Rattus norvegicus: one gene and its partners. The protein of the gene in region 1 interacts with the protein of each later gene in a pairwise test. Links are inferred from orthologs where the notes say so. Each region holds a gene or a part of one and is shown in the gene's direction. Other genes may lie near its edges.

Region 1 (8,799 bases):
GGTAGCTAATGTGGAAAGAAAATGAGTTTGTTCTGTGACCCTCCCAGACTGCTCTCCAGCCCCTCAGTGCAGCCCCGTGCACTATGCCAGCTGGAAGCCCGTTGGTATTGAACCTCACTTCAGCTTCCTCATGCATCTGCCCTCCTGCAGGTACAAAACCATATTGGAAATAAAATTAATCAGGGAGAACTGGGCGGTGGTGGTGCATGTCTTTAACCCCATAATTCCAGCACTCCAGAGGCAGGCACACCTCTGTGAGTTCAAGTCTAGCCTGGTCTACAGAGCGAGTTCAAATAAATAAGGGAATCAGGGAGAAGCTATTTAGAAGTATTCTTGGGGTGAAGAACAGGGGGAGCCGAGAGTTCTGCTCGTTTCCTGCTTTTGTTTATCTATTTTTTGTTTTTGTTTTTTTTATTAACTTGAGTATTTCTTATTTACATTTCAAGTGTTATTCCCTTTCCCGGTTTACAGGCCAACATCCCCCTAACCACTCCCCCTCCCCTTCTTTATGGGTGTTCCCCTCCCCATCCTCCCCCATTGCCGCCCTCCCCCCAACAATCACGTTCACTGGGGGTTCAGTCTAAGCAGGACCCAGGGCTTCCCCTTACACTGGTGATCTTACTAGGATATTCAATGCTACCTATGAGGTCAGAGTCCAGGGTCAGTCCATGTATAGTCTTTAGGTAGTGGCTTAGTCCCTGGAAGCTCTGGTTGCTTGGCATTGTTGTTCATATGGGGTCTCGAACTCCTTCAAGCTTTCCAGTTCTTTCTCTGATTCCTTCAACGGGGGTCCTGTTCTCAGTTCAGTGGTTTGCTGCTGGCATTCACCTCTGTATTTGCTGTATTCTGGCTGTGTCTCTCAGGAGAGATCTACATCTGGCTCCTGTCGGCCTGCACTTCTTTGTTTCATCCATCTTGTCTAATTCGGTGGCTGTATATGTATGGGCCACATGTGGGGCAGGCTCTGAATGGGTGTTCCTTCTGTCTCTGTTTTAATCTTTGCCTCTCTATTCCCTGCCAAGGGTATTCTTGTTCCCCTTTTAAAGAAGGAGTGAAGCATTCACATTTTGATCATCTGTCTTATCTATTTTTTGTAAGTCTTGTTCTACAGCTCTGGCTGGCCAGGTCCTATGTAATCCAGGCTGACCTTGAACTCATAATCCTGCTTCATCTTGGATGACAAGCTTGAGCCACCATACCTAGTTACTATTTAATAATTTTTCTTTATTGGGAGGGCAGAAGTTAGAGCATGATTTGGAAGAGCTGGCTTTTTTTTTTTTTTCCTTTCCTGCAGATGGGACTCAGATCTTTTTTTTTTTTTAAGACTTATTTATCTACAGGACTACACTGTAACTGTCTTCACGCACACCAGAAGAAGGCATCAGATCCCTCTGGCATGAGAGTTGTGAGCCACCATGTGGTTGCTGGGAATTGAACTCAGGACCTCTGGAAGAGTGGTCGGTGCTCTTAACCACTGAGCCATCTCTCCATGGGACTCAGATCTTTAAGCTTTGCCACAAGTACCTGTCTTTCCTAGGGTTTCTACTGCTGCAGTGAAACACTGACTAAAAGGTAAGTTGGAGAGGAAAGGGTTTATTCGGCTTACACTTCCACATTGCTGTTCATCATCAAAGGAAGTCAGGACAGGAACTCACACAGGACAGGGACCTGGAGGCAGGAGCTGATGCAGAGGCCATAGAAGGTGCTGCTGCTTCCTGGCTTGCTCCTCATGGCTTGCTCAGCCTTCTTTCTTTATAGAACCCAGGTGTTGTTTTTTAACAAAATTTCAATCGTTTAATTTTACCAATGAAGACTCAGGAACGAGACAGAGAAAGCACCCAGCTGACCTTTCTCCATAGCCAAGAACTCAAAAGGCCTTTCTATATGCTGTCTCAAGAACTCTTCAAACAGAATGTCCTCCCTTCTACTTCCTGTCTCTGTCCTCCTGACTCTCTTTTATTCTCAGATTTTTTTTGTTCACTTCCTCCCAGCTCATTGCCTGCTCTGTCTCTTGACCTAAGGTGGACTATATTTAATCCTGTTTACAATATCCAAGCAGAAAGCCCTTGGGTTAAAGGCATGGACTAGGGCTGAACCACACCACAACTAGAAACAGATTTTTTTTTCCCCAGTAAACAACACAATGTTGGGATTCACAGTGTGATCAGAAATCCTGCAACACCAGGACCACCAGTCCAGGGATGGCACCATCTGCATGGGCTGGGTCCCCTCCATCGATCACTAATTAAGAAAATGCCTTATAGGCTTGTACTTTTGGAAGCATTTTCTTTCCTCTTTTCCTCCCTCTTTCTTTCCTTCACTCTATTTATTTCCTTCTTTCTATTTGTTTTGTTTTTTGAGAAGGGGTTTCTCTGTGTAATCCTGGCTATCCTGGAACTCACTCTGTAGACCAGGCTAGCTTCCAACTTAGAGATCCACCTGCCTCTGCCTCCCAAGTGCCAGGATCAAAGGTGTACACCTGACATGGAGGCATTTTCTTAATTGAGGTTACGTCCTCTCAGATGACTTTAGCCAGTGTCAAGGTGATGTCTTTATGACGCTATGTAACATAGTACCTTTACCCGCTGAGCTGTCCTCCCAACCCTAATGGAGTCTTGGATCATGTAAACGTTGGGTGAGAAAGAGGTACAGAGGGTTTGGCAACCCTGACCCAAGACACTCCAATCAGATCCTTTTACCATTTTGGACAGTGGGAAAGTCTGGAGGGCCAAGCTCTAGCTGCCTGGCACCCAGCACGAGCTGTGTGGTTAAAGGGACCAGCTTGGGAGAAGCTAATTTCCTCTTAGGTCGGGATGCTTCATCTACTAATGGAATCAGCCACAGGGTAATGAGAACAGCAGACCTGATAGGGAAGCCCTAGTTTGTAGTGTAATTCTAAGTAAAACCATTGTCTAGGGTAAACATTAGCATGGAATGGTTTTCATTGTATCTCTGATAAATAATAGAATGAATAGTTCTTTTCTAGAAGGACGTAGACCTGGAAGGAATTATTGTGGAAAATGGCGGTTGTTTCCTGTGATTGATAGAGTTGTATTACTGAAGGAGCTTCATGGCATTTCCATGACTTTGGTCACAGCTCCAGGCACACCTGGAGTGCTGTGCTTTATTGGGTACTGGAGACAGCGTACAATAAACATGAAGTCACAGAGGTGTGATGTCTCCTTCCCTAAACATAGGTCAGGTCAGGGGCTTTGTTATGAGGAACCAGTTTCACCCAAACACTAACTTCTCTGTAACAATCAGTAAATACGCCTTTGTACAGTTGTTCAAGATTCAGTCTGCAGTGGCTGGCTCTCCCTGGGGCCAGCAAGGCCTTACCACATCCTTGAGTGGCCTGCTTTCTTCCATCATGAGACTCAGAACACCGACACTGGTTGGAGCACAGTCACTGGCCTCCTCATTACGTCATAATAGTCGAGCTGTGATGTCATTGCACAGCACCCACTCAGTACGTTTTGAAAGCGAAGTACATATGTGAAGGAAGAGTCAGCATGAGGACTAGACACCCAGAGAGAGGTAGGTGGAGGCTGGGCAGGGCTTCCGTGGCCCTAGCCTCTTTCCCAACTTGGACATCTTAGTTTGATGGTGGGTTGATCTGAACTCTTTCTTTTTTTTTTTTTTTTTTTTTTGGTTCTTTTTTTTCGGAGCTGGGGATCGAACCCAGGGCCTTGCGCTTCCTAGGCAAGCGCTCTACCACTGAGCTAAATCCCCAACCCCTGAACTCTTTCTTTCACAGAGAGCTTTAATGTAGCTTTTCCTGTTTCAAATCCATCCCAGATTCCCAACACCTGCACTGGTGACCATTCAGCCTTAGAGCTCCCCTGACCTCTGGCATTTCTTAGGAGAGGAGACACCAAACACTGGACGAAACCGAACATGGTCATTTGGTTACACAGTCGAGTAAAACTTCTGTATCCTAAAGTATACAACTTTTAAGAAGAAAATACAAATTTTATTTTTTAAGATTTATTTATTTGTTTACTTATTTACTTATTATCTGTAAGTACACTGTAGCTGTCTTCAGACACACCAGAAGAGGGCGTCAGATCTCATTACAGATGGTTGTGAGCCACCATGTGGTTGCTGGGATTTGAACTCAAGAACTTTGGTAGAGCAGTCAGTGCTCCTAACCACTGAGCCATCTCTGCAGCCCGAAAATACAAATTTTAAATACAAGATTGGGCATAAAGTGAACGTTTAAGGACTGGGGAAATGCAAATCAGTTACAGTTTTTAAAAAGCTGATGAAAGGGGGTCAGTGGTAGAGCGCTTGCCTAGGAAGCGCAAGGCCTTGGGTTCGGTCCCCAACTCCGGAAAAAAAAGAACCAAAAAAAAAAAAAAAAGAGAGAGCTGAGGTGGAGAGCTATCAAGGAAGATTTGGCATCAATCTAAAACACTCGTGAACCCCCACATACATGCACGCTACCAAAAAAAAAAAAAAGCTGATGAAAAATTACCTACCTGGCAAACAATTTTTTTTCCATGTGTTTGGATACCAAAAAAAATCAGATTGAACTTTTTTGTTTTTGTTGTTTGTTTGATGGGAGGTCTTACTATATAGCCCCAGCTGTCCTGGAACTCACTATGTAGACCAGGCTGTCTTCAAACTCACAGAGATCCACTTACCTCTGCCTCCTGAGCGATGGGATTAAGGGTATGCACCACCATACCTGGCTTATTTGTGTGTGTTCAAGACCCACACATAGAGACAGAGGGCAACTTTTTGGGATGGCGTCCCTCTTCCAGGGTGTGGTTCCCCTAGAATGAAACCTAGGTCAGCAGGCCAGGCAGCAGGCGCCTGCACCCATCGCGCTGTACCCACCCTGCTGCACTGACAGCCTTTTCATAGAACAGGTAACTAATACTTACTGCAAAGAATAAGGTTCTGAACCATGGTGGCACACGTCTCTAATCCAGCACGGGGGAGGCAGAGGTAGTTGGATCTTTCAGTTAGAGGCCAGCCTGCTCTTCAGTGAGTTCCAGCACAGCTAAGGTAACAGAAAAACCCTGTATGGAAAAACAAACAAGAAAGGATTTCAGTTTTCTAGCATACTGTTAATTTTCAGGTTATGGTAATTTTAAAAGAATTACACATTGTGACTTGTGGAGTATCCACCAGAGAAGACTGCCCGGACACGGGTTTTAGCCAATAGGAAGTCTATGAGTCAGCTGGTGACAATACTGGGTACTCAGGGTCCCAATAGAGCTCTGATCCTTTCTCAGAGTGAGCTTTTAAGCACAAAAACCATGTCTTCAGTTAACAACAGAAGTGGAACTAACAAGCTAACAAGCAAGGTTAGTATATCTTGAGACTTTCCCAGAACTCTCATCAGCTTCGATGGATTGGGCCTTTGTTTTTGTTTAGCAGGAGGCTATCTCCGTGCTGAGTCTTACAGCCTAAATGGTATTTCCATCATGGAGTCAGTTGTGGCAAGGTCTGGGGCCTGTTACAGTGATTATGTTATAAAAAAATTTCAGGGGGTTGGGGATTTAGCTCAGTGGTAGAGCACTTGCCTAGCAATCGCAAGGCCCTGGGTTCAGTCCCCAGCTCTGGAAAAAAAAAAAAAAATTTCAGACCAAGCATAATAGCTCACACTGGTAATTCTAGCCCTCAGGAGGCCAATGGAGAAGAATTGCCTGGAGGCAAGGTTAGCCTAGCAGGTGAATGAACCTTGGCTACTATTGAGAATGTGTCTTAAAAGACAGACAGCATTTTTTCCAAACTCGGAAAAATGGACCATTTCTTTCATATTTGGTGTAAGGTATTAGACTAGGGATGGCAGAACAAAATGGCGGAAAGGAAGCATCTTGTACCTTTTTTTTTTTTTAAAGATTTATTTATTTATTATATATAAGTACACTGTAGCTGTCTTCAGACATACCAGAAAAGGGCATCCAATCTCATTACAGGTGGTTGTGAGCCACCATGTGGTTACTGGGATTTGAACTCAGGACCTCTGGAAGAGCAGTCAGTGCTCTTAACCGCTGAGCCATCTCTCCAGCCCCACCTTTTTTTTTTAAACATTTATTTATTATGTATACATCATACAGCGTTCTGCCTGCATGTATGCAACTACAGGCCAGAATCAGGGCACCAGACATGATTACTGATGGTTGTGAGCCACCATGTGGTTGCTGGGAATTGAACTCAGGACCTCTGGAAGAGCAGACAGTGCTCTTAACCGCTGAGCCATCTCTCCAGCCAAGCGCTCTACCACTGAGCTAAATCCCCAACCCCTATTTTTTTTTCTTTTCATGTAATTAGTTTTTGTCCGGGTTCTGTTTTCAGTGCTGGGGCTCCCACCTCTATTACTGAGCGAAGACCAGAAGCCCAAGATGAAGATAATAATTCCATTCTGAGCTTTTTCCTTATCGTAGTCTCCTCCACCCCCACGCTCGCTGCCCCTGGACTTGGCCTTGAATGTGATCACTCTGCCTCTGCCACTCGGAGTGCTGGGATTACAGCTGTGTGCCACCGTGTCACTGGACCTTCACATGGTTCCCCGTGTACAGTCCCAGCCATGTCAGAATCTCCCTGTTAGGACTACAGTCAGGTTAGATCGTGTTAGAGCTTAAGACATTAATCGCCGCCTCCAAGACCTCCAGATCCCGCACTGTGAGACACTGGAGTTGCCCACTGCTGTTTTACCATGGAGAAGGAAGGACATTCAGTCCAGAAACTGTGTCTGCCATGGGGTAATACGTTTTTAATAGGCATAACTGAAGGGGCTGGAGAGATGGCTCAGCGGTTAAGAGCACTGACTGCTCTTCCAGAGGTCCTGAGTTCAATTCCCAGCAACCACATGGTGGCTTACAACCATCTGGGATCCAGTGGGATCTGATGCCCTCTTCTGGTGTGTCTGAAGACAGCTACAGTGTGCTCACATACATGAAATAAATAAAATCTTTAAAAAAAATAGGCATAACTGAAAAGTCACATAAGTACCCTACTAAGCCCCAACTAATGTTTTCCTAGCTCAGCCAATCTCAAGATGTCCATGGCAGTCATTGCCAATGGACAAAGGGGGAAGCTTGATGGAGGGAGAATTAAGAAAGGAAGGGCACATCGATCTTAGCAAGTTTGCCTTTCCACTAGGTATATTTCCAAACGTTACAACGACTTACCACCATGTTAACACGTTGCTGGGCTTCTCAATGCTTTGCAAGAGGTCTGTTAAGGGAGAGACTCTGGAACTCCATAGGCCAATTATTCCTCTGGTCAGCCAGTACCTCAGCCATTCAAAAGGAGGACTTTCTTTTTTTTTTTTTTTTTACTTTAATTTTGTTTTGTTTGTTCTTTCAAGATAGGGTTTCTTTGTGTATCAGCCCTGACTGTCATGAAATGTACTCTGTAGACCAGCCTGGCCTCAAAATCACAGAGATCCTCCTGCTTCCACCTCCTGAGTGCTGGGATGTTGTAGTAAATATTTAAAAAAAAAAAAAAGATACACCATATTGCCAGCTCTGGTGGGCCAGGCAGCATCTGCGGGGGTATTTTCATCTTAATCAGCAAATCATCTCAACCCGACTCGCTAAGTGTCCAATTTCCATCCCATGCTGCCGCTGGCTACTCTCTGTCTCTCCGCCTCAGTGACTAGCCCCATCAGTGACCATCCACCTAGTTTCCAAGACTGCCATGGTCGCTGCCACCCCAGCTCCATACAGAGACCGCCTATCTCGTGGCTCTCTTGCTGCAGACTCATTCCCAGCATCTGCCCCCTGTGGTTATAGTCAAAACTCCCAGTATCCCGGTAAAATCAAAACTCTAAAAGCTTATAATTTATCTATCAGATTTATATCCGTAAATTCTCACCCCATAAAACATCCATACAATAATTCTGAACCAATTAATATTGATATAAACTGCCCACCTAGATAAGACAAATTGTCCTATAAAAATCTATTCCTTATAAAATATTCATAACTACCTGTGACCCTTTAAGGCCACACAGATCTGGGTTGTTTTTCTCTGCCTCCATTTTGGTTCTTCTTCCACCTTCTCCTCTCTCTCCCCTCTCCAAAACTCTGTGCCTGCCTTACCTTTTCTCTGCCCAGTCACACACCTTGCCTTATCTTGTGCCTGCCCTCACCTGCATATAGACAACAATACACACTGGGATGAAAAGTGTGTGTCACTACACTCTGCTAGGACATTTTGTTTTTAAAGATGTATTTATTTAATGTATATGTGTACACTGTAGCTGTCTCCATACACACCAGAAGAGGGCACCAGATCTCATTACAGATGGTCGTGAGCCACCCTGTGATTGCTAGGATTTGAACTCAGGACCTCTGGAAGAACAGTCAGTGCTTTAACCACTGAGCCATCTCTCCAGCCCAGGACATTTTTTTTTAAATGACCTTTTTTGAGTGTGCGCCTGGGTGCATAAATATGTGTATGAATGGGCTCATGCTATGGGCAGTGTGGTGGTCAGAGGATAACTTTCTGGAGTCAGTTCTCTCCATCATGTGTGACCCGGGAACCAAACTGATGGCATTCGACTCAAGCACTCAGGCCTGGCAGCGGGCGTCTTTGCTGCTGAGACCTCTTGCAAGCCCGAGGAAAAAAAAAATCTCACCAAAGATGGGAGCCTTTGAGGATAACATGAGCCCCTGGTCGTAAGTACAAGAAGAGTTGAGACGGTTGTTATCCTGCTAATCACAGGCTCCTTTTGTGTTTGTGTTTGGATGACTGCTCAGTAATTTTCACACCCAAGTCCACAGCAACTTCTAAATCCAGAGGTTAAAGCTCATAGTAAACCTAGAACAGGGGTTTCTT
Region 2 (7,188 bases), on another chromosome or scaffold:
AGGCTGGGTAGCGAACACAGGGCTGTGGGCAGACTAGGCAAGCCTTCTGCTGCCGAGCTACAGCCCCGGCAAGCATCTAATTATTCTTTCTAAAGCCAGTGCAGGAATAATCTGAAGATTCAGGGTCTGGAACAGCTCAGATCAGGAAACCCCAACTAAAGAGCCAGGGTTGGGAGTTGGAGGGAGGCAGTAGCCTGTCTTTCTTCTCCCGCATCCCACTGACCGGCTCGGCGCTCCCCACAGGCCCGGGCCTCTATGCAGGCTGAGATGGAGCTGAAGAAGGAAGAGGCGGCCCGGCAACGGCAGCGCATCGCGGAGCTGGAGGAGATGCAGGAGCGGCTGCAGGAAGCTTTGCAACTGGAGGTGAAAGCTAGGCGAGATGAGGAGGCCGTGCGCCTCGCCCAGACCAGGTAGGCACGGTAGCCAAGGGAACCTTTCCTGCCAGCGCCAACGCGGACCCTCCTGGGCTCTGAGACGTCCCTGTGCACTCCGGCAGGCTGCTGGAGGAGGAGGAGGAGAAGCTGAAGCAGCTGATGCATCTGAAGGAGGAGCAAGAGCGCTACATTGAGCGAGCGCAGCAGGAGAAGCAGGAGCTTCAGCAGGAGATGGCGCTGCAGAGCCGTTCCCTGCAGCAGGCCCAGCAGCAGCTGGAGGAGGTGCGGCAGAACCGGCAGAGGGCAGACGAGGACGTGGAGGTGAGATTCCGACCGGGAACCGTAGAAGATGGGGGAGGCAGTATGTCATAGCTCCCACCTCCAGACCTGTCTTCAAACTCGCATTATCCTCAGCTGGCTGTGTTATCGCCTACAAATTGCCTAAACTGTCTGAAGTCTCTCATCCGGGAGAGGAAGCAGTGTATTTTATGCGTGGTATTTAGTATGCAAATGCCGAATCTCATGCAGCTGGTTTGCCAATAGTGCTATAAACCTGGGTAGAATCCCTCCCCGCCCCACCCCCAAACACTTCCTAGAGCTTGAATGCCCGTAGAAAAGGTTCTAGTTTGGTATATTGTCGTTGTTTTGGTGGAGTTTTTAAAAAATCTTTTGTTAAACTTTTTAAAATGTATGTGTATGTGTGCTTTGCCTGCATGAATGTCTGTGCACCACGTGCGAACAGTGCACATAGAGGCCAGAAGGTGTTAGTTGTTGGATCGACTGGGTCTGGAGTTACAGTTCTAAGCCACCATGTGGGTGGGAGAACCCAACCCCGGTCCTCTAAAAGCAGCCAATGTTTTTACTACTGAGCCATCTCTCCAGCCTAATTATGTATTTTTATTTTATTTTATTTTTTAAAATGTATTTATTTATTATATATGAGTACACTGTAGCTGTGTTCAGACACACCAGAAGAGGGTATCAGATCTCATTACAGATGGTTGTGAGCCACCATGTGGTTGCTGGGATTTGAACTCAGGACCTCTGGAAGAGCAGTCAGTGCTCTTAACTACTGAGCCATCTCTCCAGCCCATATTTTTAATGTTTTTAAAAATTTTTTAGACTTATTCCTTTTATGTATGTGAGTACACTGTAGCTGTCTTTAGACACACCAGAGAAGGACATTACAGATGGTTGTGAGCCACCATGTGGTTGCTGGGATTTGAACTCAGGACCTCTGGAAGAGCAGCCAGTGCTCTTAACCTCTGAACCATCCCTCCAGCCCTTGCCTTTAGTTTTTCGAGACAGAACTTCTCTGTGAAGCCTTGGCTATCCTGAAACCCACTCTACAGACCAACAGCCCAGTTAAAAATAAATTTTTTTATTGTTGTTGTTGTTGTTGTTGTTGTTGTTGTTTTCGGAGCTGGGGACCGAACCCAGGGCCTTGCACTTGCTAGGCAAGCGCTCTACCACTGAGCTAAATCCCCAACCTCTAAAAATAAATTTTTAAAAAGCATTTATTATTTATTTATTTATTTATTTATTTTTTTGTCTGGCTGGCAGAGTCATTGGAAAAACAACACAGAGACTGGAGAGGTGGCCCAGTGGTTAAGAACACTTGTCACTCTTACAGAGGACCCAGGTTTAGCCCCCAGCACCCAGCTCACAGCCACCTACGACAACACAGAAATGTTAACATGGGAAGGAATGGATCTGCCCACCCACCGGACCCCTGCTTAGGGCTCTGAATGCTGGAGCAGACTCTCCTGTGAGGTCCAGGAGAATTTTGTCCTACAGCGCTTTGAGTGCTTTGGTACCCAGCCTATGTTCCTGGGTAGGACACTGAACGTGTTTCAAATCTGACTGTTGTTAACTTTTGTCTAGGAAGTTAGATAAATTTGTAAAGGCACTCAGCATATCTTAGCAGCTCGGTAGATGATGATGGTGGTGGTGATGATGGTGAAGACTGTATATATATATATGCCCAACATGCATGCAAGACTCCTCAGAGGCTGGAAGAAGGCATTGGATCCCCTTGGGACTGGAGTTACCATAGTGCTGTGAACCAAACCTGGGTCCTGTGCAAAGATCAGCAAGTGCTCTTAACACTCTCAAATTCCCTTCCCCCATCCTTTTTGGGGCAGGAGCTCCTGCAACCCGCACTGGCCTCTAACTCATTATGTAGCACAGGCCTTGACCGCCCTTTGTGTCTACATCCCAAGGGCTAGCACTACAGGCATGCGCGGCCATGCCCAGCCTTCCTAGGGAGGAGCTGGGTAGCTGTGATCAGATTCTCAGGGCCTCTGAGCCTGACGGGGACAGCAGAACTCCACGGATGGCAGTTCTGACCCACTCCCACTACCTTGCCCTGCAGGCTGCCCAGAGGAAGTTGCGCCAGGCCAGCACCAACGTGAAACACTGGAACGTCCAGATGAACAGGCTCATGCATCCGATCGAGCCTGGAGGTGAACCTTCCCCAGTTTGGGAGGGAGAAAGGGAGGCTGCCAGATCTCCCGGGTCACGGAGGTGGAACTGAAAGATCAAAGGTCTCCCAGGGCCGAGGCATGAGCCTCTCTTCTCCCATTCCGACTCACTTTCCCCTTTTGTCCGTCTCTTCTCTCCACCAGATAAGCGTCCCACCACCAGCAGCTCCTTCACCGGCTTCCAGGCCCCTCCGCTCGCCCGCCGTGACTCCTCTCTAAAGCGCCTGACCCGCTGGGGGTCCCAAGGCAACAGAACCCTCTCGGCCAACAGCAGCGAACAGAAGTCCCTCAATGGTGGGGACGAGACTCCCATCCTGGCTTTGGCCTCTCAGGAAGAGAAACTGGATGCAGCGCCAGAAAATTAGCCTCCGATGAGACCCCCTTGTTCTTCCGATGCTGTGTCCACGGACCTGGTCCCAGCAGACCTGTGGGTGACTCCCGCCTCTGGTAAAGTCCTGGTGCTACCACCTGCTGACCAAAAGCCAGTCCAGGATCGGACTAGGTTGCCATTCTCAGCAGGCCGAGACCATGGAGGCTGTCCGGGATATTAATACTTGAGAATATGGTTTTGTCCTAAAGAACACTGGGGCCAGAGCTGGGAAAGATGAGGAACGACCAAGATGCCCCTTAGGCTGGAGAGATGGCTTAGAGCACTGTCTGCTCTTCCAGAGGTCCTGAGTTCAATTCCCTGCAACCACATGGTGGCTCCCAACCATCTGTCATGGGATCTGGTGCCCTCTTCTGGCCTTCGGGCACATATGCAGGCAGAATGCTGTACACGTAACATAAATTTTTCTTAAAAAAAAAAAAATAAAAAAAGATCACACGCCCCTCCCTCCAGATCGAGTCACAGAGACATACTTCCAAATAAAACTGCTCACACCTCCCCACTGCTCCTGCCCCTTCCTCCCTCCCTCCCTCCATTTATCCCTCCCCCCACCTTGAGTTCAAGTTCTAGGTCTCTGGGGCAGCAGGTGTGGTGAGGCAATTAAGGAACACGGACTGTGGGATGAACTCAGCTCTGCCACTTTCTCACAGGTGAACTTCATCCCCCAACATGGGCCTATGGAGAGGGTCATAGCCCCTGATGTAGCCTCCTGAGTGGAGCTCGCGCTTGGCACAGTTGCGAGCACTGTCATCACTAGTGTCTGAGGTGTTTATTGAGCATTTACTGTCTACCCTGAGGCCACCCACATTACTTCATTCCCAACGAAACCCTAAGTGCTGAGTGACTGTTATGTTAACTGAGCTTCTCCCAGACAAGACATCTGAGATTCTAGACTCCACGGAGTTTGCTTCCACTTCTATATCCCTCATCCCAAACCTGGGACGTCCACTGGGATCACCGTTCTTTATATCCTTGTAACTCTCTCTAGAATGGTTTGTGTCTAGACTGTCCCCTCATTCGTGTGTCGGATGCCTGTCTCCCAGCTAGGGCACTATTTCTGGGAGACCGTTGAGCCTCCGGCAGGTGGGACCTTCCTGAAAAGAGAGTCACTCTATGCTCTCTGCTTGCTGTCCTCCCAGATGTAAACACCCTCCGATGGACCTACTTCCTCATGCCGCCCGCATCATGATGGAGTGAGAGTCCTCTGAGACCTAAGCCGGAAGAAGTCTTTCCTCCCTTCAGTTGTTTGTGTCAGTGTCACAGTGACACAGAGGTCATTAATACAACCCCCTTCCCCATCCTCATAGCTCAGAGTTCGAACCATTGACTTCTCCATTTGCCCCCACATTTAATAAGTCAGTATCCCTGTGGTGCTATGGCCAGTGGCCACTGCCTTACGCCAGTCTCTGTCAGCTCCTCATTAAATAAGAGCTTCCCTGGCACTCTTCCAATTCTGTTCCCTGGGTGGGATTTCCAAACAGCAGGGGTGTTGCTCCCTTCCAGACTCCTGCTGCTGTCCAGAAGGCTTTGTAGTGATTAAGACTGGCTCTCACTCTGTGTAGCCCAGGATGCCCTCCAACTCAGCAAGCTCCTGCCTGAGTCTTTCAAGGGCTGGGGTTACAGGTAAGGACAATCAGGCTCAGTTATATCCAAGAGTTAATTTAATTATATTCTCTCTCTCCTCTCTCTCTCTCTCTCTCTCTGCATGTGTGTGCACATGTGTGTGTGTGTGTGTGTGTGTGTGTGACTCTGTCCCTTTGTCTCTTTGTCTGTCTGTGCATGTGTCTCTGTCTCTCGGTGTGTCTCTGTCTGTTTGTCTCTTGGGCTCTGTATCTTTGTGTGTCTCTGTCTGCTCTGTGTGTGTCTCTGTGTGTCTCTGTCTGCTCTGTGTGTGTGTCTCTCTGTGTGTCTCTGTCTGTCTGTCTCCCTGTCTCTGTCTATCTGTGTGTATCTTTGTCTTTCTGTGTCTCTGTGTCTGTCTCTCTCTGTGTGTGTCTCTGTCTTCTCTGTCTCTCTAAATCTGTCTCTGTGTTTCTTTCTGTGTGTGTCTCTTTGTGTCCGTATCTCTGTGTGTCTGTCTTCTCTGTCTCTTTGCATGTGTGTGTCTCTGTCTGTCTGTGTGGTGTGTCTCTGTGTGTTCCTGTCTCTCTCTCTGTCTCTGTCTCTGTCTCTCTCTCTGTCTCTCTCTCTGTGTGATGGTGAGCGTGTAGATGTCAGAGGACAACTTTCAGGGGTCAGTTCTCTCTCTCTACCATGTGGTACCAGGAATCAAACTCAAGACACCAAGTTTGGCAGCAGGTGCCTTTACCTGTCGAGCCATCACCCTGGACCTGCAGCTTGACTTTTGTGGGTCACATTTACTTGCCCCTGTGCACTGTGGGACACGAGGGCCTTGCTCATCAAGCCAAGAAGACCTGCTACAGTTCTACCTCAGGGGTATAGCCTCGGCTTCTCCCTCTCACTCTTCTAGGTCTCACCACGAAGTCCTTCCTCCTCATTTCCAAATGTTGGAGGTCCTTGAAGGCAAGGACATGTCTTCCTCAACGCTGTCCCCAATGCCTGGCACAGGGTTTGCTCCTGAGAAAGCTGTGTGAGCGAGTGCAATGCACGACTGGGCGTGGAGCAGTTAGAATGTGAGGATACTGCTGCGACTGCAGCTCAAGCCCGTCCAGCATGGAACCTGGTGATTCCTTACCATGGGCCAGGCGTTATGCTGGGTGTGAGCTGTTACCCGGGTTCCCGCCCTGGCGTGAACTATTATAGGGGAAGGGTTCCCGCCCTCCCGGAGCTTGCTCCTCGCTATCTGATCACAAAGTTCGCAGCTCCTGCAAGTGCACCCGATGCTCTTTCAAGGAAGTGTGTGACGTTTAAAGTGCCATGAAACAGCCACTAGCGTGAGAAGGTGCAGAGCAGAGGGACGGGATGTGAAGCCCAAAGTCCGTGTGCTGTGGGAATAACTAAACTGGAGGAGAGGGAAGCAGGTGCCAGGACTATGAGTGGAGGCTGCCCGGGCTTGCCTGGTCTGCTTTGTTTCTGCAGAGCTTAGTACAGCAACTAGGGCTTTGTGAATGTCTCCTTCTTACCGCTCACTGTTCAGGGGCTGCCTCTCCAGCACAGCCCTAGCTCACACTTCTTTACTTATTAATTCATGCTTCAGGCTGCCCTCGGGCTCACCCTCGCCCATGCTGGTCTGCACTCACCATCGTTCTGACAACGGTCACTCAAATACTAAGATTTCAGGTGTGTGCTACCAAGCTGGCAAAGCCCTCAGGGTCCCATGAACACGAAGATCATGGCGCCATGGAACAAGTAGGCCCAGAGAAGCACTTCATACTTAGGGTACAACAAAGGTAACTGCTGGGGCTGGAGAGATGGCTCAGAGGTTAAGAGCACTGTCTGTTCTTCCAGAGGTCCTGAGTTCAATTCCCAGCAACCACATGGTGGCTCACAACCATCTATAATCAGGTCTGGTGCCCTCTTCTGGCCTGCAGGCATACATGCAGGCAGAAAGGTGTATGACGTATACATAAAAAATAAATTAAAAAAAAAAAGAGATAATGATCCTGACTCATATTTGGGGTTGGGGATTTAGCTCAGTGGTAGAGCGCTTACCTAGGAAGCGCAAGGCCCTGGGTTCAGTCCCCAGCTCCGAAAAAAAGAACCAAAAAAAAAAAAAAAGAGTTGGATCCATGCTGTGTGGAGAAGGCATCCTGGACTTCAATCATCTTTACTTGCTCATTTTGGTGAGAGAGAAAGAAAAAAAAAAAAGTTGGATCCGTTTCAGTTCCCAAGCACTGTCGACTGAAACTGTCTTCTCATGTTTTCAATCCCACCGTCTCTGCTTTCAAAAGGGAGTCTGACCATCCCTGCATCCACTCACCCTCTTGCAAGAGCAGACTATCCCTGAGAGTCAGGAGTTCCAAGTCCCTGGGAGCTGCTGCTG
Region 3 (7,565 bases), on another chromosome or scaffold:
CCTCCATGTGTGTATAGTGCAGGCTTCTCATTGAAATAAATATGTAAAAATGCAAACAAATATTTTTTTTCTTAAATTTTTTTTGGTTGGTTGGTTTTGGTTTTTGGGACAAGGTCTCTTACTATAGCCACATTGGAACTCAAGACCAGGCTGGCCTTGAACTCAGAGATCTGCCTGCCTATGCCTGTGAGTGCTGGAATTAAAGAAATGGGCCGGGGTTGGGGATTTGGCTCAGTGGTAGAGCGCTTGCCTAGCAAGCACAAGGCCCTGGGTTCGGTCCCCAGCTCCAAAAAAAAAAAAAAAAAAAAAAAGAAGAAGAAATGGGCCAACATGCCAGGGTACAATTCTTTTTTTTTTTTTTTTTTTTTTTTTTTTTTAATGAGAAACATTAACATTTTGTTGGGTGTTTTTTGAGCACAGGTATGTTGAGGACTGAGCACAGATTCTCTCACTTAGCAAGCATACTAAGGGTGGAAGTGGCTGGAACTGTGCTCAGAGATCAGAGGATAGTTTTTAAGAAATGGTTTTCTTCTGCCACCATGGGATTGGACTAGGATCTTGAGGCTTGCATGACAAGTATTATCTTTTGAGCTGTCAGACTGGCCTTAATATCTTCTTTTAAAACATGGTCTCATTCTGTGACTCAATCTAATCCAGCCTTGAACATGCTATGTAACATGGTGACCTTGAACATCTGATTCCTCAACAATCCTATCAGCCTCCTTGGTACTGGAATTATAGGTGTGAGCCAGCACTTGTGGCCTGGTCCTTGTTTTGTTTCGTGGTGAGGCAGGGTCTTCTGTAGCCCACTGGCCTTGAACTTGCTTTGTAGCAGAGGATGAACTGCCTTGAGCATCTGAGTTCCTGACCCACCACCCAAGTGTTGGGATGGAGCCTGTGCCTCCATGGCTGAGGTCAGGTCTGAGACTTGGAAGAGGCTAATGCTGAGACCTGCTTCTGCTCTGGCTTTTGTTCTAGAAACAATGAGGCTGAGGATCAGGATTTTGAGAAGAGCAATTCCCGCAAGCGTCCCCGAGATGTTCCCCAGCAGGAGGAGGAAGCGGAGGGGAACTACCAGGAAAGCTGGCAAGCCTCAGGCAGCCAGCCCTACAGCCCTGAGCACAGACAGAAAAAGCACAGAAAACTTCCTGAGCTTGAAAGGCCTCACAAAGTGGCTCATGGTCACGAGAGGAGAGATGAAAGGAAGAGGTGTCACAAAGTGTCACCACCATATTCTTCAGACCCCGAGTCGTCTGACTATGGTCATGTTCAATCTCCTCCACCTTCAAGTCCCCATCAAATGTATACAGACCTCTCTAGGTCCCCAGAGATGGACCAGGAACCCATCGTCTCACACCCGAAGCCTGGGAAAGTCCACAGTAATACCTTTCAGGACAGACTAGGGGTTAGTCACCTGGGTGAGCACCAAGGGAAAGGGGCTGTTAGCCAAAACAAGCCACACAAATCTTCCCACAAGGAGAAACGCCCTGTGGATGCCAGGGGGGATGAGAAGAGCTCTGTCATGGGCAGAGAGAAGTCACACAAAGCCTCTTCCAAAGAGGAGAGCCGAAGGCTACTCTCAGAGGACAGTGCCAAGGAGAAGCTGCCCTCCAGTGTTGTCAAGAAAGAGAAGGACAGAGAAGGCAACAGCCTCAAGAAGAAGTTGTCACCTGCCTTAGATGTTGCTTCAGACAACCACTTTAAAAAGCCCAAACACAAGGACTCCGAGAAAATCAAGTCTGACAAAAACAAGCAGAGTGTAGATAGCGTGGACTCAGGACGAGGGACAGGAGACCCATTACCCAGAGCCAAGGATAAAGTTCCCAACAACCTGAAGGCTCAGGAGGGGAAAGTAAGAACTAACTCGGATCGAAAGTCACCAGGCTCACTCCCTAAAGTAGAAGAGATGGACATGGATGATGAGTTTGAGCAGCCCACCATGTCCTTTGAGTCATACCTCAGCTATGACCAGCCCCGCAAGAAAAAGAAGAAGGTTGTGAAAACTTCCGGTACAGCACTTGGAGAAAAAGGACTTAAAAAGAAGGACTCTAAAAGCACTAGTAAAAACTTGAACTCGGCTCAGAAATTACCCAAGGTGAATGAAAACAAGTCAGACAAGTTGCAGCCAGCTGGAGCCGAACCCACGAGGCCTAGAAAGGTAACTGACTGCTCTGTCTCTCCTGCCTGCCTGCCAAGTGTGGAAAGCCCGCCTGCCAGGCCGCTGCTGCCATATGATTTCTTTACCGTACAACCCGCCAGGCCACTGTCCTGCTGCCATTCAACTGGTTGAGTTTTGATCGTTATTAATATTCTCAGCCATGCTAGCAGTTAAGGTGGACAGTGACAGGATAAGCTTTATTCCGGGCTAGGGAGGAAGCTCAGTAGTACAGTACTCACTGAGAATGTATGAGACCCTACATTTACTTCTTAGCGCCTCACAATTTTCTAAGACATTTTTTTGCCCTATCAGCATTTATTTCAGTGACCCTAACTGGTGTCATGGGTGACTTGTAGCTCCCTCTCCTTGACCTGCTTGCCTGTATGGTATGCTTGGTTAGCCGACTGCAGGGAAGAAAGCTGGGTTCACAGGGTGGGCTCTGCACTCTCTCTTGCAGGTCCCTACTGATGTGCTGCCAGCATTGCCAGACATCCCCTTGCCCGCCATACAAACCAACTATCGTCCCCTTCCCTCCCTCGAGTTGATCTCCTCCTTTCAGCCAAAGCGAAAAGGTAATTTTGGACATCTTTTTCATTTATTTTCATTTTTTTGAAAAAGAGTCTGTTTCAAAATTGTGTAGCCTTAGAACTCACTTTGTAGAACAGGCTGGCTTTGAAGTCAGATTCACCTGTCTCTGCCTCCCAAGTGCTAGGTTTAAAGATTATATTTTTAGTTTGCCTGCATTAGTGTTTCGCAGGCATCTATGTCTGTTCACCAAGTGTGTGTGCTGCCCAAGGAGGTCCCTAGAGGAGGCTGTTGGAGCCCTTGCTGCCGGAGTTAGAAAGTGGTGGGCCGGGGTTGGGGATTTAGCTCAGTGGCCCTGGGTTCGGTCCCCAGCTCCGAAAAAAAGAAGAAAAAAAAAAAAAAAGTGATGGGCTGCCGTGTGGGGGCTCTTCACTATGGGCTGGAGATCTTTTGTGATTTGCTGGTTTTCTTCTTTCTACAGCTTTCTCTTCACCCCAGGAAGAAGAAGAAGCTGGGTTCACAGGACGCAGAATGAATTCTAAGATGCAGGTGTATTCAGGTTCCAAGTGTGCCTATCTCCCCAAAATGATGACCTTGCACCAGCAGTGTATCCGGGTGCTTAAGAATAATATTGACTGTGAGTCACCGATCTCTTGATTATGCTACTGCCCTGGGACTTTGTCACAGGGAGCTTGGCTGCCATTCAGCACTCACCTTCTCACCTCTGGTTTCTCTGCAGCCATCTTTGAAGTGGGAGGAGTCCCCTATTCTGTTCTTGAACCTGTCTTGGAGAGGTGCACACCCGATCAGCTCTACCGAATAGAGGAATGCAATCATGTGAGTGCCCTAAGTGGGAATGGCGTACCTTCCTGGCTCTTTTTCCAAAGGTAGCTTTGTCTCTGGATTGCCTTGGCCGAAGGGCAGGTCAGAGGGCAAATCACTGTTCTGGGCATGTTTGGTTTGCACGTCTCGACCTTTACACAAGCATACTTTTTGTGTCTGCTCCTGGGAGCCTTTTTGTTTTGATTGTTTGGCTAATTTTTTGGTTTTGGTTTTTTTCAAGACAGAGTTTGGTTCTCCTGGAAGTCACTGTGTAGACCAGGCTACCCTTCATACTTAGAAACCCACCTACCTCTCCCTCTCGGGTGCTGAGAGTAAAGGCGTGAGCAACTACGCCTGCTTCCTGCTATCTATCTAGTGATTTGCCTTCTTCCCAGTAGTGTGGTTCTGTAACTACTGCTACCACATCACCCTCCCTCTCCCACACCATAGGCATTGGGTCATGGGTAGGTAATGGAGAGATGTGTGGGAAAGTTGTATAGAAGTCTTGGTCCTGGTTCCAGGTATTAATTGAGGAAACAGATCAGTTGTGGAAAGTTCACTGTCACCGGGACTTTAAGGAAGAAAGACCAGAAGAGTATGAGTCTTGGAGGGAGATGTACCTGAGGCTTCAGGACGCCCGAGAGCAGCGGCTGCGCCTGCTCACAAACAACATCCGGTCTGCACATGCCAATAAGCCAAAAGGTACAGGAAGTGTGGGGTTGGGCAAGGGCATCCAGGTGGGGCTGTGTCTCCTGCCTCTGGCTGCTCAGAGATTGGGTTCACAGGACCTGAGGAGCCCTGGTTTGGAGCTCTAGAAGACTCTAGACCAGTGGTCTCTGGGTTGTGACTCCTTTGAGGCGTTCAAAAAACATTTCACTAGTTGCCTAGAACCCTAGTTTGAGGAAAACAGACAAATTTACATTACCATTCACAATAGTAGCAAAATTACAGTTAGGAAGTAGCCATAAAAAATAACTTTATGGGTGATCTGGAGAGATGGCTCAGAGGTTAAGAGCACTGACTGTTCTTCCAGAGGTCCTGAGTTCAATTCCCAGCAACCACATGGTGGCTCACAACCATCTGTAATGGGATCCGATGCCCCGTTCTGGTGTGTCTGAAGACAGCAACAGTGTACTCATTTTTCTTTTTTTTTTTTTTTTTGGTTCTTTTTTTTTTTTTTTCGGAACTGGGGACCGAACCCAGGGCCTTGCGCTTCCTAGGTAAGCGCTCTACCACTGAGCTAAATCCCCAGCCCCAACAGTGTACTCATATAAAATAAATAAATCTTTAAAAAAAAATAATAATTTTATGGTTGGGGTCACCACAACATGAGGAACTGTATTAAATGTCATAGCATTAGGAAAGTTGAGAACCACTGCTCTAGACTCTCAAATTGGGTGCCTTTCATATGAAGGTAAATATTGATGTTTTGTGTTTCTACTCAGGACGACAAGCAAAGATGGCCTTTGTGAACTCTGTGGCCAAGCCACCGAGAGATGTTCGACGGAGGCAGGAGAAGTTTGGAACCGGGGGAGCAGCTGTCCCTGAGAAAGTCAGGCAAGATCTCTGCTGCGTGGTCGTTACCCTGAAGGGGAGCTGGGGGCAGGAAGTGCCTGACTTTGTGGTGGCGGCAGGCATTGGAGAGTGCGTTCCTGAATGATTCCTGGATCTGCACTTTCCCTCTGCCTTAGTGTCCCTTCTCATTGCTGAGGTGGAGCATTTCCGTTTCTTACACGTGTGCTCCTGTAGAGGAAGGACCCGACCCTGCAGGGCGGGCTCCATCTCAGCAGGAGACTCTATCTCGTAATTAGGTGGCTCCTGAGAAATGACACCCAAGGTCGGCTTGGCCTCTACATGAACATCTCTGCCCATGGTCCCCACATCTGCATACATATACATACCAAAGCAAAACAAATTCCCAGGGTGACTACATTTTTTTTTAGGGCATGTGAGCATTTCCAAATGATAGACTGACATTTTTTTTTTTTTTTTTTTTTTTTTTTGGTTCTTTTTTTTCCGGAGCTGGGGACCGAACCCAGGGCCTTGCGCTTCCTAGGTAAGCGCTCTACCACTGAGCTAAATCCCCAGCCCCGATAGACTGACATTTTAACAGGAAAAGCTTAGTGTGACTGTCACTCTCAATAAAGGGCTGACAGCTGTATCTGATTCTTCACCAGGACTCAGTGTACCAGGCCACCGCACAGAGCCACAGCGCAGTCACCCAGTCACCCAGCAACAGCTCTGTTAGATTGTGTGCTGTGTTCCAGCTAATTATCAGCTTTGTTCCGTGTTTCAGGATTAAGCCAGCACCATATACAACAGGAAGCAGCCATGTTCCTGCCAGCAACAGCAGCAGCAGCTTCCACTCAAGTCCTGAGGAGCTGGCCTACGAAGGGCCCAGTACCAGCAGTGCCCACTTAGCTCCTGTGGCCAGCAGCTCTGTTTCCTATGATCCCAGGAAACCAGCTGTGAAGAGTAAGCAACTTTGGTGGGAGCAGGCTGTGGGCTGGTGGGGAATCTTGACACAGACGTTATCGGACAAAGAACACCAGCCAAGTCAGACTGGCCCTCCTCAGGTGTTCATGCTTATTAGCTCATCCTGAGACCCATTGCTCTGGGGGGCTGGAGGCTCTGGATACGTGTGTGTGTGTGTGTGTGTGTGTGTGTGTGTGTGTGTGTGTGTGTGTGTGTGTTACAAAGTTAAATTGTCGGCATTATGGCCCCAAAGGTCAGCAAAGACTTCTGACTGATTTGTGTCTTGAGCTATCCATGAGCACAGCAGCCAGTCTTCAAAAGCTGTAAGAGATGCTGCTGGTTCTGCACCTACGGGGTCTGCCTTAGGACGGGGTTTCTCTGGCACCTTTTCAGACAGTTCCTGCTGGTTAGTCCATTTGTGCATGGAGGTGAGATACACAGCCATGGAAAACAAACTTAGCCTGGCTTTGCTATGAACCACAGTGGCATATGTCTGTCCTGCCTCCAATCTGAAGCAACTGTCTCCTTTTTCTTCACAGAAATTGCCCCGATGATGGCCAAGACCATTAAAGCATTCAAGAACAGATTTTCCCGACGATAAACAGGACTTGCCTTGGAGGTTGAGTCTGGAAGCAGGACTACAGGGACTATGGGGACGGGAGAAGAGGATGTCCACAGAAGACCCGTATCTTTTGCTCTGTGGAACTTTTGGCCTCTGACTCCTGCACAGTTCCAGGTGTCCCCCTCTGTGCCTCAGCCCTGCACCCTGCTTGTAGCACACTTCAGATTTCTGAAGACAGTATGAGCCTCAGTCTTACTGAGGACTTTAAGATCAGTTATACTTTTGTTGCTAATTAGCATCTTTGTAAACTATAAGACATAGTTTTAATTAATAAATATTGCCCCCAGATGTATTTATAATACCCCCAGGGGTTTTTATTTTATTTTATTTTCTCTTTGGTCCACTATATTTAGCCCTTTACTTTCCAGGTCCTTTATTAAAGTTAGATGAGCCTAGCGAAAGCCATTCTTGTCCTAGTCAGCTCTTCTGAGTAGACACTGGTCCTTCAGAGCCAGTGTGTCACTCCAAACCCAGATGCAGGGCTAGGAGTGAGTGAATGCCAGGATGCCTGTCCTCCAGGGGAGCCTCCCTGCTGAAACCCCCACTGTTCCTTGGTGGGCACTTTTCTTCAGTAGATTTGTTAAGGAAGGCCGTTTGCATCATCTTCAAAGCATACTACTCTCCCCCATTTTCCAGCTCACTGGAGGACAGAGCCTAAGAGATGAACTGATGTAGGACCTCAGCAGTTTTATAATTTTAGTTTCTGGTTCAGTATTTTACACACAGACAGACACACAGACACACAGACCCTTCCTTATTTTGTCTCTCCCTGCACTGTGGGGAAACACACATGACAGGGCTTTTGTAGCTCTGATGTGGTTGGGGGGTTTGAAAAGCCAGCACTTTATTTCCTTGTTCTCTATGAATTCCTACCAGGAGTGAGTGGTTTAGAGCATTGTAGTGCTGTGAAGCTTGCTCGTGTTGGACAGGAAAGGTGCTGACGTGGCCAGAGGAGCAGCAGTG

The links. The genes of interacting proteins can lie anywhere in the genome.
Region 2: the proteins of Homez (region 1) and Def6 interact in binary tests that used the Homo sapiens proteins (3 or more experiments, as listed by UniProt). The two-hybrid records come from large-scale screens. The link is inferred for Rattus norvegicus from reciprocal best matches to the Homo sapiens genes HOMEZ and DEF6.
Region 3: the proteins of Homez (region 1) and Eloa interact in binary tests that used the Homo sapiens proteins (3 or more experiments, as listed by UniProt). The two-hybrid records come from large-scale screens. The link is inferred for Rattus norvegicus from reciprocal best matches to the Homo sapiens genes HOMEZ and ELOA.

What each region holds. Positions count from the first base shown.
Region 1 is NC_086033.1:32,304,163-32,312,961, reverse strand, and holds the start of Homez (homeobox and leucine zipper protein Homez), read left to right. Parts: upstream 1-3,487; 5' UTR 3,488-3,512; coding exon 3,513-3,537; intron 3,538-8,799. UniProt on the Homo sapiens protein: May function as a transcriptional regulator.
Region 2 is NC_086038.1:6,288,028-6,295,215, forward strand, and holds the end of Def6 (differentially expressed in FDCP 6 homolog), read left to right. Parts: intron 1-243; coding exon 244-410; intron 411-496; coding exon 497-695; intron 696-2,748; coding exon 2,749-2,839; intron 2,840-3,001; coding exon 3,002-3,222; 3' UTR 3,223-3,697; downstream 3,698-7,188.
Region 3 is NC_086023.1:153,514,468-153,522,032, reverse strand, and holds the end of Eloa (elongin-A), read left to right. Parts: intron 1-978; coding exon 979-2,158; intron 2,159-2,615; coding exon 2,616-2,730; intron 2,731-3,164; coding exon 3,165-3,320; intron 3,321-3,422; coding exon 3,423-3,520; intron 3,521-4,026; coding exon 4,027-4,207; intron 4,208-4,950; coding exon 4,951-5,062; intron 5,063-5,801; coding exon 5,802-5,980; coding exon of another isoform or gene 5,981-6,108; exon of another isoform or gene 6,109-6,519; coding exon 6,520-6,581; 3' UTR 6,582-6,903; downstream 6,904-7,565. UniProt on the Homo sapiens protein: SIII, also known as elongin, is a general transcription elongation factor that increases the RNA polymerase II transcription elongation past template-encoded arresting sites.